Linked DNA regions of Drosophila melanogaster. The protein of the gene in region 1 interacts with the protein of each later gene in a pairwise test. Each region holds a gene or a part of one and is shown in the gene's direction. Other genes may lie near its edges.

Region 1 (7,123 bases):
TGCATTGTTCGACAAAGTCCGATCCCTATACTTCTTCTGCAACAGCATTACGTTTAACTGATCCTCGCCTGACTGGCGGCGATTCTTCGTACAGCCGCAGCTTTGATTCCGAACGGAGTCTCCATCGTCGGAGTAACTGCCGGGTTGATTCTGTTGCTTGGCCAACTGGTCTAGAAGTCTCCCGCACACGGCATTATTATTTCGCTTCCAGCTGTCGCAGCACGACTTCTGATTGTCCTCGCCGATTACTTTACGGAACCTGGGCTTCCACTCTCCGCGTTTTTGGGAACATAGTCTGGGACCTGGCCATCTATCGCTGCGTATACCATTGCCGACGGACTCGTAACCATCCCAGTTGTCAGCACCGACGTACACATCATTTTGTTGCGTTTGCGATGAACGCTTTTCTGGGTTGTCTTTCGTGGGACATGAACATGGTTTCCCAGTTCGATACTGTTTGCTATCACTTTTTTGGAATTTATTTGACTGATCCTGTTCCTGATACCGATTAGACATCCTTGGGTTGGTACTGCCGCTTTCTCCGCCTTCTAAAGAGCTCTTACTTCCGAATTGAGGACGACTGCTTTGACCTCTTAGCTCGCACGCTTCACAAGGATCTTCGTCTTCCTCTGGCTTGCAACGAACACAGTACGCAGTGGGATACCACCGATCATTGCCGGACGTAGATCTTTCATGGTGCACACCTAAGAACTCTTCATTTGGTGGCTCAGGCTCTAGAATCATCTTGTAGAAGGTGTACCCGCACCTGGTTTCACTGCAGCTGGGACTTAAAAAAGCTAGAGGCGATATGAATGTGTCCTCCGAAAAATTGGGTGGGAAATGTCCTTCCTTAATGGGACAGTTAGCTTCCTCCTGTGTAAAAATAGAAGATAATGGTTCACTATTCAATATCCAGTGCAAAAACCATCCACTCACCTCCAAGTTTCCCAAGAAATGCAAGTCCTCGAAGTAGGAGTACCTTGGACTATAACTATAACCCTCAATTTGACTATTTCGGATGGCGGCCAATTCCTTGGAGTAGTAGTGCCGCAGACCGAGCACCTGCAGCTCCACCTGGTCAGGAGTCAGGCCGCAGTTCATCCGCCGGGTGATTTGTCGCCAGGCGTCATCCTTCGCAGAACCACTATGGAAACCAGGTGACTTTGGATTCCAGAGGCACTCGTTCGATCGATAAAGTCGGATGAGCTTCTGCGTCTTCTTCAATCGCTCCAAATTCAAATACGACGTAATATCCTTCTGTGCCATCGTGCCCCTCTGTTCTCCACAATCCTTTCCAGCGACTCGGTGATCAATCTTCCATAGCGTTTTCCTATTGAACCTACAGAGGTTGTATGCCTAGTTTGGAGCTATATATTGCGCCCAAGCCGAAATATTTGGACAGGAAAAACAAAAGTGACAATAAACAAGCAATTTTGAATAATTTTTGAATGATTTTTAAACGGTATCGCTTAATTAGGAATATTATATGCCGTTACCATTTTCAAGATCTGCAGGGTGTCTCATACATTCGAAGCTTTTGAGAGTATTAATTCAGTATTATTGTGCAATTAAATGGCGATTGGTATTTAGCTGGGCGAGCAGAACGGTCACACTGGCGCACAGTAGCGAAAATAATAGTCGAATAATAAAATAGTTTTGAGTGCAACTAATTCCGACCTACTAACGTATGCGAGTGCATTTAGCGGCTGCACTTAATCATTCCGGGCAAAAAAGTGCAAAACAGTACGACGCGGAGCAGTCAGAATCGAGGTTGCGCTCCAGCGTTATCGCCATTTGACCAATTCAACTTTTGTGTCTGGTATAACCACAAAATTTTCACTGCATCTTCTTATTTGAGCCGCCCCCAACCCAATTTTCGCGAGTGTGTCGGAATCAGCAGAGAATCGGAACAAAAGGGGCCAAACGGAGTACCAGAATCGGCACAAGCAAACAGTGAACAGCAGATAGTGCGGACGATAGCGAGTCCGTTGATTATCCACGTAAACAGTGAGCTGCATGCGCAGAGGTCGCGCCCAGAGCTGCAGAAATCCAACAATCTCCGCCAGAAAGATCTATCTCCGCCCTGTAAGCAATGTCCGCGGAACGAGAGATTCCCGCCGAGGACAGCATCAAAGTGGTCTGCCGATTCCGACCGCTGAACGACAGCGAAGAGAAGGCCGGCTCCAAGTTCGTGGTCAAGTTCCCCAACAATGTGGAGGAGAACTGCATATCCATAGCGGTATGTGTTCCAGATCTATAGTTTTCGCCAGCCCCCAGTGCCTTTTCCCTATGTGTTATGCATTAATCTCGGCGTGCCGCGCCATGACGTCATGCCTATTAGCGTACATTACCCTTCCCCAAAATTGCCGACCAATTGGAATGCCAGGCGATAAAAAGAGAGAGGCACTAAAGTTACCCATGAATAATTGCACAAAACAAAACTAGATGTACATATACATGTATATGATGAAACCAACTAACTTTACTCCAAATCAATATTGCTTTGCACCAAATTGATTTTCCCCCAGTCGAAAAAGAATAGGGTGTGTAAATCGAAAGAAGCGCGATGACGGGGTGGAGAAATGCCACCCACTAGACGGTTTTCTGCTAAAAGCGGGTGTTCCATTCTTTTGGGCCGCATAAATATGCGCTTTTCTAGTTTCCAGTCCGCCTTCAGTGCTTACCTCACTTACATTTCCACACAAACACATACACACATTGACGGTAGCCCCCGCTCCACTTCCACTCCCCTGTCCGCGCGCCAATGAGTCATGCACGCAAAGCATACAAAAAAAAAAAATATGAGGAAAAACAATAAGAGCAACTTTGGAGGCAATGGAATTTGGCTGTATTGCTTTTATGCCACATGAAATGTTATTGCTTTGTATGCTATGCTGAATTTCCCGCTTTTCCGCCAGGTGTAATCCGTCATATTCCTGGTAAAGCTTGGGCAATTGAACCAGTTCCAAAAAAGTCAGCACTAATATAGTGCCTCCATACACAGACATTATCATTACGCTCTCTCTCTCTCTCTGACTAACTCTATCTATCTCTCTTTCGCTGTGGCTTTCTTCTGGCGCTCGTTATTCACTATTCTTCCCCCTTCCACTTAACATGTCTTAATGCTCATAATTACAATCTGCTTCGCGGCCATGCGTTGAAAATGATTCAAAGGCAGTCAGCGGGAAAAGATCGGGGACAGGGGGAATGAATCTCCGAAAGAAATTTCACCGCAACTGACACCAGTTTATAGCTAATGTAACTGGCTGCTATGTACTAAAGAAAAAAACACATTATACTAAACCTAATCTCCATCGTCTGCAGGGCAAGGTGTATTTGTTCGACAAGGTCTTCAAACCGAATGCATCCCAGGAGAAGGTCTACAATGAGGCGGCCAAGTCCATTGTTACGGATGTCCTGGCCGGGTACAATGGAACGATATTCGCATATGGTCAGACGTCCTCCGGAAAAACGCATACGATGGAGGGCGTGATCGGGGACTCCGTAAAACAGGGTATCATACCACGTATCGTCAACGACATTTTCAATCACATCTACGCGATGGAGGTGAACCTGGAGTTTCACATCAAGGTCTCCTACTACGAGATCTACATGGACAAGATTCGAGATCTGTTGGACGTCTCCAAGGTGAACTTAAGCGTGCACGAGGACAAGAACCGGGTGCCGTACGTCAAGGGCGCTACGGAACGGTTCGTCTCGTCGCCGGAGGATGTTTTCGAGGTGATCGAGGAGGGCAAATCCAATCGTCACATCGCTGTGACAAGTGAGTACTAATTAAAATCGATGGTCAGGACCATTTCAGCCAAACAAGTCTAGGAGTTATTCCAGCATTCGCTCTGACCTCGATTGTAGTGTTTCATGTACCAGATCATCTTTTATAACGATTTATCCATCCTTTCAGACATGAACGAGCATTCTTCGCGATCCCACTCAGTATTCCTTATCAATGTGAAGCAGGAGAACCTGGAGAACCAGAAGAAACTATCCGGCAAACTCTACCTGGTGGATTTGGCCGGTTCCGAGAAGGTTTCCAAGACTGGAGCGGAGGGAACCGTTCTTGATGAAGCCAAGAACATCAACAAGTCGCTGTCGGCCTTGGGCAACGTAATTTCAGCCCTGGCGGACGGAAACAAAACGCACATCCCCTACCGTGATTCCAAGCTCACGCGCATCCTGCAGGAGTCGCTGGGAGGCAATGCACGCACAACCATCGTCATCTGCTGCTCTCCAGCCAGTTTCAACGAATCTGAAACGAAGTCAACGCTGGACTTCGGTCGTAGAGCCAAGACAGTGAAGAACGTGGTCTGCGTTAACGAGGAGCTTACTGCCGAGGAATGGAAGCGACGCTATGAAAAGGAGAAGGAAAAGAACGCCCGACTAAAGGGTAAGGTGGAGAAGCTGGAGATCGAGCTTGCGCGCTGGAGAGCGGGTGAAACTGTTAAGGCGGAGGAGCAAATCAACATGGAGGATCTCATGGAGGCAAGCACGCCCAACCTGGAAGTGGAGGCAGCACAGACGGCGGCGGCCGAGGCCGCTTTGGCCGCCCAGCGAACGGCTCTCGCCAATATGTCCGCATCGGTTGCCGTGAACGAGCAGGCCAGGCTGGCTACAGAGTGCGAGCGTCTCTACCAGCAGCTGGACGACAAGGATGAGGAGATCAATCAGCAGAGCCAGTACGCCGAGCAGCTCAAGGAGCAGGTGATGGAGCAGGAGGAACTCATCGCTAACGCTCGGCGTGAGTATGAGACTTTGCAGTCGGAGATGGCGCGAATCCAACAGGAGAACGAGTCCGCCAAGGAAGAGGTTAAGGAGGTGCTCCAAGCTCTCGAAGAGCTGGCTGTAAACTACGACCAGAAATCCCAGGAGATCGATAACAAGAACAAGGATATCGATGCCCTCAACGAGGAGCTGCAGCAGAAGCAGTCTGTGTTCAACGCCGCCTCCACAGAGCTACAGCAGCTCAAGGACATGTCCTCACACCAGAAGAAGCGCATCACGGAAATGCTAACCAACCTACTGCGCGACCTTGGCGAAGTGGGCCAGGCCATTGCCCCCGGCGAGTCCAGCATTGACCTCAAGATGAGTGCTCTGGCTGGCACGGATGCCAGCAAGGTGGAGGAAGATTTCACCATGGCGCGTTTGTTTATCAGCAAGATGAAGACGGAGGCCAAGAACATTGCCCAGCGATGCTCCAACATGGAAACACAGCAGGCTGACTCCAACAAGAAGATCTCCGAATATGAGAAAGATCTGGGCGAGTACCGGCTACTCATTTCGCAGCACGAGGCACGCATGAAGTCGCTGCAGGAGTCGATGCGGGAGGCAGAGAACAAGAAGCGCACGCTCGAGGAACAAATCGATTCGCTGCGCGAGGAATGCGCCAAGCTCAAGGCCGCCGAGCACGTTTCCGCCGTTAACGCCGAGGAGAAACAGCGGGCTGAGGAGCTGCGCTCCATGTTCGATTCTCAGATGGACGAGCTACGCGAAGCCCACACCCGGCAGGTGTCCGAGCTCCGGGATGAGATTGCCGCCAAGCAGCACGAAATGGACGAGATGAAGGATGTCCATCAAAAGCTGCTCTTGGCGCACCAACAGATGACGGCCGACTACGAGAAGGTGCGCCAGGAGGATGCCGAGAAGTCCAGCGAGCTTCAGAACATCATCCTCACCAACGAGCGTCGGGAGCAAGCGCGCAAAGACCTCAAGGGCCTGGAGGACACGGTGGCCAAGGAGTTGCAGACGCTACACAACCTGCGAAAACTTTTCGTTCAGGATCTACAGGTAAAGTTTAAGCAATCCTATCTATTATTGCTACGTACAGATCTTAAAATGTATTTCCCTTGTGCCAACAGCAACGAATCCGAAAGAATGTCGTAAACGAGGAGAGCGAGGAGGACGGTGGATCACTCGCGCAGAAACAGAAGATTTCCTTCTTGGAGAACAACCTCGACCAGCTGACCAAGGTGCACAAGCAATTGGTGCGGGACAACGCCGATCTGCGGTGCGAGCTGCCCAAGCTGGAGAAGCGTCTACGCTGTACCATGGAGCGGGTGAAAGCTCTGGAGACAGCGCTCAAGGAGGCGAAGGAGGGCGCAATGCGGGATCGCAAGCGCTACCAATACGAGGTGGACCGCATCAAGGAGGCGGTGCGACAGAAGCATCTGGGCAGACGTGGCCCACAGGCACAGATCGCCAAGCCGATCCGGTCCGGCCAGGGTGCAATCGCCATTCGTGGTGGTGGCGCCGTTGGAGGACCATCCCCGCTGGCCCAGGTTAATCCTGTCAACTCGTAGATCCAATCACCACCTGTCGCCGCCCAGTTCAGCTCCGCTTTAAACTAAACTAAATGGATTACGTTATACATACTTAACATAACTGATAATTGCCTTCGCTTAGATGAGATGTGTCGCGATCATGTGCAGCGCTTTAAATATACATACATATAATTTAATTAAATAAATGAAAGGAAACCGGAAATTAACTAAATTTTACAAACCGAAAATAATAAAACCCACAGATATGTAAGGACATCTATATACGTTAAGAGTATTTATAAACTTTTCAAACATAAACCTAAATAAAAGTCGCAGACAAATTAAGGTCTCTTTAGTTTGATTCTTATTGCAGTTCAAAAAAATTATGCCGATTATTTGGCTATTGGTTGTTATTACATCGTCTGCTGTTACAATCGCATGTTGTAACCTGTCCCGCGTGTGTTATGGTGCTCCCAATCGTCTGGAGAATTGACCACCTGCCATTCGTACCACACTTTGGTTGCATCCACGCATCGCCAAAACTGGATGGATATAGTCTGTCCCTCCCTCAGAGTTCTTGGACGCTGAGTAGTAAAAATATATATTAATGTAGCAGTTATCAAAGGCTAACTAATCACATCACACGTACCGTTGCGAAGAACATGGGGAACCAGGAGAACATGCCAGGCGTATGGGTCAGAGGATTGATGCTTAGGCAGATGTCCTTGTACAAATGGGTATCAAAGTATCCGCCGATTCCGTGCAGCACGCAATCTTTATTGACTTTAAATGAAACCGTCTTGCAGCGAGTATTGTCAATATTTTCCGCTCGATTAGGATGTACGAAT
Region 2 (5,676 bases), on another chromosome or scaffold:
TTGTAATCATCGCTGCACTCCGTTTCGTTCTCAATATCTACATTCTTACTAGTCTCCGCCGGCTCCTTTTCGGCATTGGAAGCGCTGCTTTTGTTTCCTGACGGGGATCCCTTCGTTGCAGCTAGCTTGGAGCTTTTCTCCACGCGCGATGTGAGCTTCAGGGAGGCCCCCTTCACGTCCTTTCCATGCTCCGAATCCTTGCGCTTCTTTTTCTTTACGTCCTCGCCAGATTCCTCGTAGTCCTCCTCTATGTCTGAGTAGCAGCGCTTGGCAGCCGAAGTTCCCTGATGATTCGTATCGCTGGATTTACCATCGTTGCTGCTCTCCTCCGCTGAAGATTTGTCTTTCGTGTCCAGGACCTCTTGCTTCTCATTCAGGCTGCCCTCGTCAGTCTCTGCGTCTCCTTTCTTGCATTCATTCTTCTTTAAGGTGGTGCGGGATGAATCTGCAAGAACGAGAATCTTATACATTACATTTGACGGCTGTGTGATTTAGTTTGGAAGATCATGTAGGAAGTAAAATGAAAGCTTATTGTCTATCGGATATCTTTTCGGGTGGAATTTGTAGTTATGTTTGAAGGAAAACCAACTAAAATGATTTTGTGTGAAAACTAAGAACTTAAGCATCGTTAAATGAGTTGTTTTTAATTTTGGTTTCTAAAGTATTAGCTCGGATAAGAGACAGGGTTTTTTTGACATCTTTACACATATTTCTTCAATAATAATTGGTATCTTCATTTGAATCAGTTAAATGACAATTTATCCGCAATCGAAACCAGTTTCTCGGATACTTTTACATTATTCCTGACTCTCAGATACATTTATGTATGTACATACGTAGATATGTACATGCATAGATGTATATGCGTGTAAGTATGTACGCAGCGAAGTACCCACGATGTAAATTGAAATTCAAGCCGACGAGCAAAAGTTCTAAGCTTTGTGACTGAACTATAAAATCCACTTGAATCATGTGAAAAGTAGACATTCACTTAATTATTTTGCTTATTTACCTGTCGACGAGTTGGCTGTCATTTGGATGAGCAGAGCCATTTGCTGCCTCTCCGACATTGGCGTGTTTGAGTTCGATCTGGGTTGGGTAGCTCCTGTATTAAATCCTATCCCCTTCGGTCTTGGGGGTGGCATACTCTTTTGTTCAGTTTTAGACGGTAAAAATTAAAATATAGAACAAAAACGGAGACTTGAAAAAGTCTTGCAAAATTTATTACAAAAAGAATAGTGCGACCGTATCGTGAATACAAAAATATGCCAGCTTGCTAATATAATAACGATGTTTTCAAATCCATTAAGTTAACAACAAATTAATTTATATATTATGTGTACAAATTTCAAGATACACCTTTAATTAGTTCCAAAAATTAAATTTTTTATTGAACTAAATCAATACCTGCTCCACCAAGGTATGTGCGTTTGTTGACCTCCAACATGTTATAGATGCTTACAAATAGCATGTTGCGCATTATTACTTTTAACTACTACTTTATTTATACTACATCTTAGCTATTATACGAAGTCTTATTGTTAGTCTACCCGATTTTTTCAGGAATTTTCATTTCTTTAGTTAGTGTTTCGATTCCACTGCGTTCTCCTCCCGACAGTGTGACCACTACTGCACAGTTGAAGAAAATCCTAGCTTGTCAAACACAATTCAACGCCCCGGCTACGGTCACACTCAGTTTTATTTTAGAAGTTTTGCAGTGTAAGATATTTTTATAGCAAATCTACGCACTATTTCGCTTATTTGAGGAGTTTGCAGAGCAAAACCGCTGGTAATAAGTTACAATATTTGAATGCACTGCGCGATAACTTGCATAATCATTTCCAACTGGATTTCGAACGACAAAATCCATTCACCCACACACAAACACATCTACTTGAGCTTATCTGTGTATGTACATATGTTGCACATAAATATAAGTGACTGCCACTTGAAGAAAAGTTTTTTACTGGAAAATATGATTCGTTTTACATAAATAATCAAGTCTAGTTGGAAAAGTGCTCGGCGGCAGCTCGTGTGGCAAAGTAAACACAAATGGAGGCCTAAGGCCTAAGTAATCGTTTAGCATGATAAATACTAAATACAATCTCTTAATGCCACTAACTTTTATGTTTAAGTGTTCATAGATATTATGTACAAAAAGTGACTCACTTTTTAATACACTGGAATTAGTGAGCTGGGGTGTTGTAACCCCATTTGCAATATTTATAATCTGACTATTCCAATCACAATATTTGGCGATCTTGATTAAGAATAAAGCTATTTTCTCGAAAATCAACTTACAATCTCATTTTACGCAATCTAGATTTCCGATTCGAAAGGCAAATGACTAAAGAAAACTATAATTTTGAATATGTTAGGGTACTAATAGCTTCGGTCTCTAAAAAACTATACAATTTATTTTAGTTGATGTAAGCAGCTACTTTTGCCATTCGTTTTTTGTTTATTGCATGACGCCAAGTGTAATTAACTTTCGCCCATAATTATAACCATAATAAACGAACTAAATGGCCTTAAACACTTTTTAACGAAGTGTCATGTTTATGTAAATCACACCGGCAATGTTGATAAATAATAAATAAAAGAAAGTTTTCAAAGCACAGTATTCGATATAAATCGAATATGCTTCCACCATTAGTTTCCAATTAGAAAACATAATTGAATGAACTGGAATTTGTTTGGCTTAAAAGTAAATTGAAGTTAACTTAATCCAGAAAGTTGATCCCTTACTTTTAATAGTTTCTGTAGTTTCTAAAAGTTATTGTTACAGCGAATGTAATAGCGCGGGCATTTTCGATTATCAACCACCTTTTTTAACGTGCATGCGCACTGCGAATTTTCTTTTTCATCGTATTGATTAACGCAGCTAGAATCGTTTAATATACGGTTAAAATGATTGTCTCCAAAGCTATCAAATCATACAGGATGTAAAACACATCAAATACCTCGATTAACACCTTTTAATTTTGATATCATTCATGTTGTTACACTTTCAGATGTCAGAGGGTTGTAGGAGCACTTACTAATCTGTATTTTGTATGTGTTTTGTAGACAGAAAATTGAGAAAATCGGCAAAATGACGCAAATGTCGCAGGACGAAATCATAACCAATACGAAAACAGTCCTTCAAGGCCTCGAAGCCTTGCGAGTGGAGCATGTTTCGATTATGAACGGAATCGCCGAGGTGCAGAAGGACAATGAAAAGTCGGACATGCTGCGAAAGAACATCGAGAACATCGAACTGGGCCTCAGCGAGGCCCAGGTGATGATGGCCCTGACATCCCATCTGCAGAACATCGAGGCCGAGAAGCACAAGCTTAAGACACAGGTGCGCCGCCTCCACCAGGAGAACGCCTGGCTTCGCGACGAGCTGGCCAACACTCAGCAAAAGTTCCAGGCATCCGAGCAGCTGGTGGCCCAACTAGAGGAGGAGAAGAAGCACCTGGAGTTCATGGCGTCCGTGAAGAAGTACGACGAGAATCAGGAGCAGGACGACGCTTGCGACAAGTCCCGCACCGATCCCGTGGTCGAGCTATTCCCGGACGAGGAAAACGAGGACAGACACAACATGTCGCCCACTCCGCCCAGCCAGTTCGCCAACCAGACTTCCGGCTACGAGATTCCAGCGCGTCTCCGTACTCTGCACAACCTGGTCATTCAGTATGCATCGCAGGGAAGGTAAGTCATCATCCATGCATTTTATTTTACTCGTGAGCACTAAAGAAACCCCTTACCTACAACATCGTTATCTATCAATTCATCATTAACTATAATAGCCTAATATATTTCTAGATACGAGGTAGCCGTTCCCCTCTGCAAGCAAGCATTGGAAGATCTCGAAAGGACAAGTGGTCACGACCATCCCGATGTAGCAACCATGCTGAACATTTTGGCTCTCGTGTACCGCGATCAGGTGCGTCTACGCTTTGATTAACTTAATTTATACAATCGTTAATTAACAACATCTCGTGCCATACAGAACAAGTATAAGGAGGCCGCCAATTTACTCAACGACGCTCTGTCGATTCGAGGAAAGACACTGGGCGAGAACCATCCAGCCGTGGCGGCCACGTTGAACAACTTGGCCGTCCTCTATGGCAAACGTGGCAAGTACAAAGATGCCGAGCCACTGTGCAAGCGTGCCTTGGAGATCCGAGAGAAAGTCCTGGGAAAGGATCATCCCGATGTTGCCAAGCAACTTAACAATCTCGCCCTGCTCTGCCAGAATCAGGGCAAATACGACGAGGTTGAGAAGTACTACCAGCGAGCTCTCGACATCTACGAATCAAAGTTGGGTCCCGATGATCCCAACGTGGCCAAGACAAAGAATAATCTGGCCGGCTGCTATCTGAAGCAAGGTAGATACACCGAAGCTGAAATCCTCTATAAGCAGGTCTTGACGCGAGCCCACGAACGTGAGTTTGGAGCCATCGACAGCAAAAACAAGCCCATTTGGCAGGTAATGTTGTGTTGTTGTGCTGTTATGCCTGGTAAATACTCAAAAGTTCCTTTTCTTACTACAATTTTCAGGTGGCTGAGGAGCGTGAGGAGCACAAATTCGATAACAGGGAGAACACTCCATATGGCGAGTACGGCGGTTGGCATAAGGCCGCTAAAGTGGATTCGCCCACGGTCACAACCACTCTAAAAAATCTGGGAGCACTTTACCGACGTCAAGGCATGTTTGAAGCGGCCGAAACCCTGGAAGACTGTGCAATGCGGAGTAAAAAAGAAGCCTACGATCTAGCTAAACAAACGAAGCTCTCACAATTGCTAACGTCAAACGAAAAGCGACGATCGAAGGCAATTAAAGAGGATTTGGATTTCTCTGAGGAGGTGAGTTTCAAAATCGAATCACTTAACTTAATTAACTTAAATTAATCATTCCCATTTATTCTTGCAGAAGAATGCGAAACCATAAAAATATTATTTGTTCATCGCCCACAACGGAATCTTTAAGTTTATGATTGAAAGCTAACAGCAAACACACACTTTATTTATTCATTCCTTAATATACATAAGCTCTCAAGCATACATTAGCAAATAAACAACGTTTTATACCTTGTTATTTCAAAAAATATGTACCGCTTTTAATAATAAACCAAATATATTTAACATAATCCTGTTTGTATTTAAACCTTCAAAACTAAACCAAAAATACGGACCAGATATAGCACATTACAGTGGAATCAGCTTAACATTTATTATTGATAACAAACAGTACGATTAGTTTGCCTACGATAACTGAGTATCAGTTAGTCGCTATCATTGTCATTTAAAATCGAGGAAACTATGCCTGCAAACTGCTCAGCCCGATCCAGAAATTGTTCCCGAGTGAGACTCGTATCGTTACGTAGATTTTGCGCCGTGAGGAGTAAGTTTTCAAAGTCCTTCAGCTGACTATCCAGCTCGTCGGCACTGATTTCCTCCTTGTGATCTGCAAATCAATAGGACGAAATGGATTATTGGTTTCTCAACTCAAATCCTGGGCACTAACCAGAACCAAACTTGACATTGGACCAAACTACGTTTTTCAAACCCTCCACAACTTCCTCGTAGTCCTTTTCAGCTTCATCTGGGTCACTCTCAACATTGCTTCTCAATGTTATGATGTCAAAAAGGAAATTCGTTTTCTCCTTAATTTCTCCAAAGGACAAT

Evidence for each region.
Region 2: the proteins of Khc (region 1) and Klc interact in binary tests that used the Drosophila melanogaster proteins (3 or more experiments, as listed by UniProt).

Annotation. Positions count from the first base shown.
Region 1 is NT_033778.4:16,266,455-16,273,577, reverse strand, and holds Khc (kinesin heavy chain), read left to right. Parts: upstream 1-1,606; 5' UTR 1,607-2,092; coding exon 2,093-2,239; intron 2,240-3,324; coding exon 3,325-3,784; intron 3,785-3,922; coding exon 3,923-5,802; intron 5,803-5,873; coding exon 5,874-6,314; 3' UTR 6,315-6,618; downstream 6,619-7,123. Other genes in the region: CG33017 (uncharacterized protein), read right to left, coding at 1-873, 937-1,266; csul (capsuleen), read right to left, coding at 6,704-6,859, 6,925-7,123. UniProt on the Drosophila melanogaster protein: Kinesin is a microtubule-associated force-producing protein that may play a role in organelle transport. Milt and Miro form an essential protein complex that links Khc to mitochondria for light chain-independent, anterograde transport of mitochondria.
Region 2 is NT_037436.4:12,746,076-12,751,751, reverse strand, and holds Klc (kinesin light chain), read left to right. Parts: upstream 1-1,695; 5' UTR 1,696-1,789; intron 1,790-1,912; exon of another isoform or gene 1,913-2,042; intron 2,043-2,853; exon of another isoform or gene 2,854-2,945; intron 2,946-3,069; 5' UTR 3,070-3,094; coding exon 3,095-3,696; intron 3,697-3,810; coding exon 3,811-3,931; intron 3,932-3,997; coding exon 3,998-4,477; intron 4,478-4,548; coding exon 4,549-4,854; intron 4,855-4,921; coding exon 4,922-4,939; 3' UTR 4,940-5,136; downstream 5,137-5,676. Other genes in the region: CG10984 (uncharacterized protein), read right to left, coding at 1-445, 897-950, 1,013-1,145; CG32109 (uncharacterized protein), read right to left, coding at 5,274-5,455, 5,516-5,676. UniProt on the Drosophila melanogaster protein: Kinesin is a microtubule-associated force-producing protein that may play a role in organelle transport. The light chain may function in coupling of cargo to the heavy chain or in the modulation of its ATPase activity.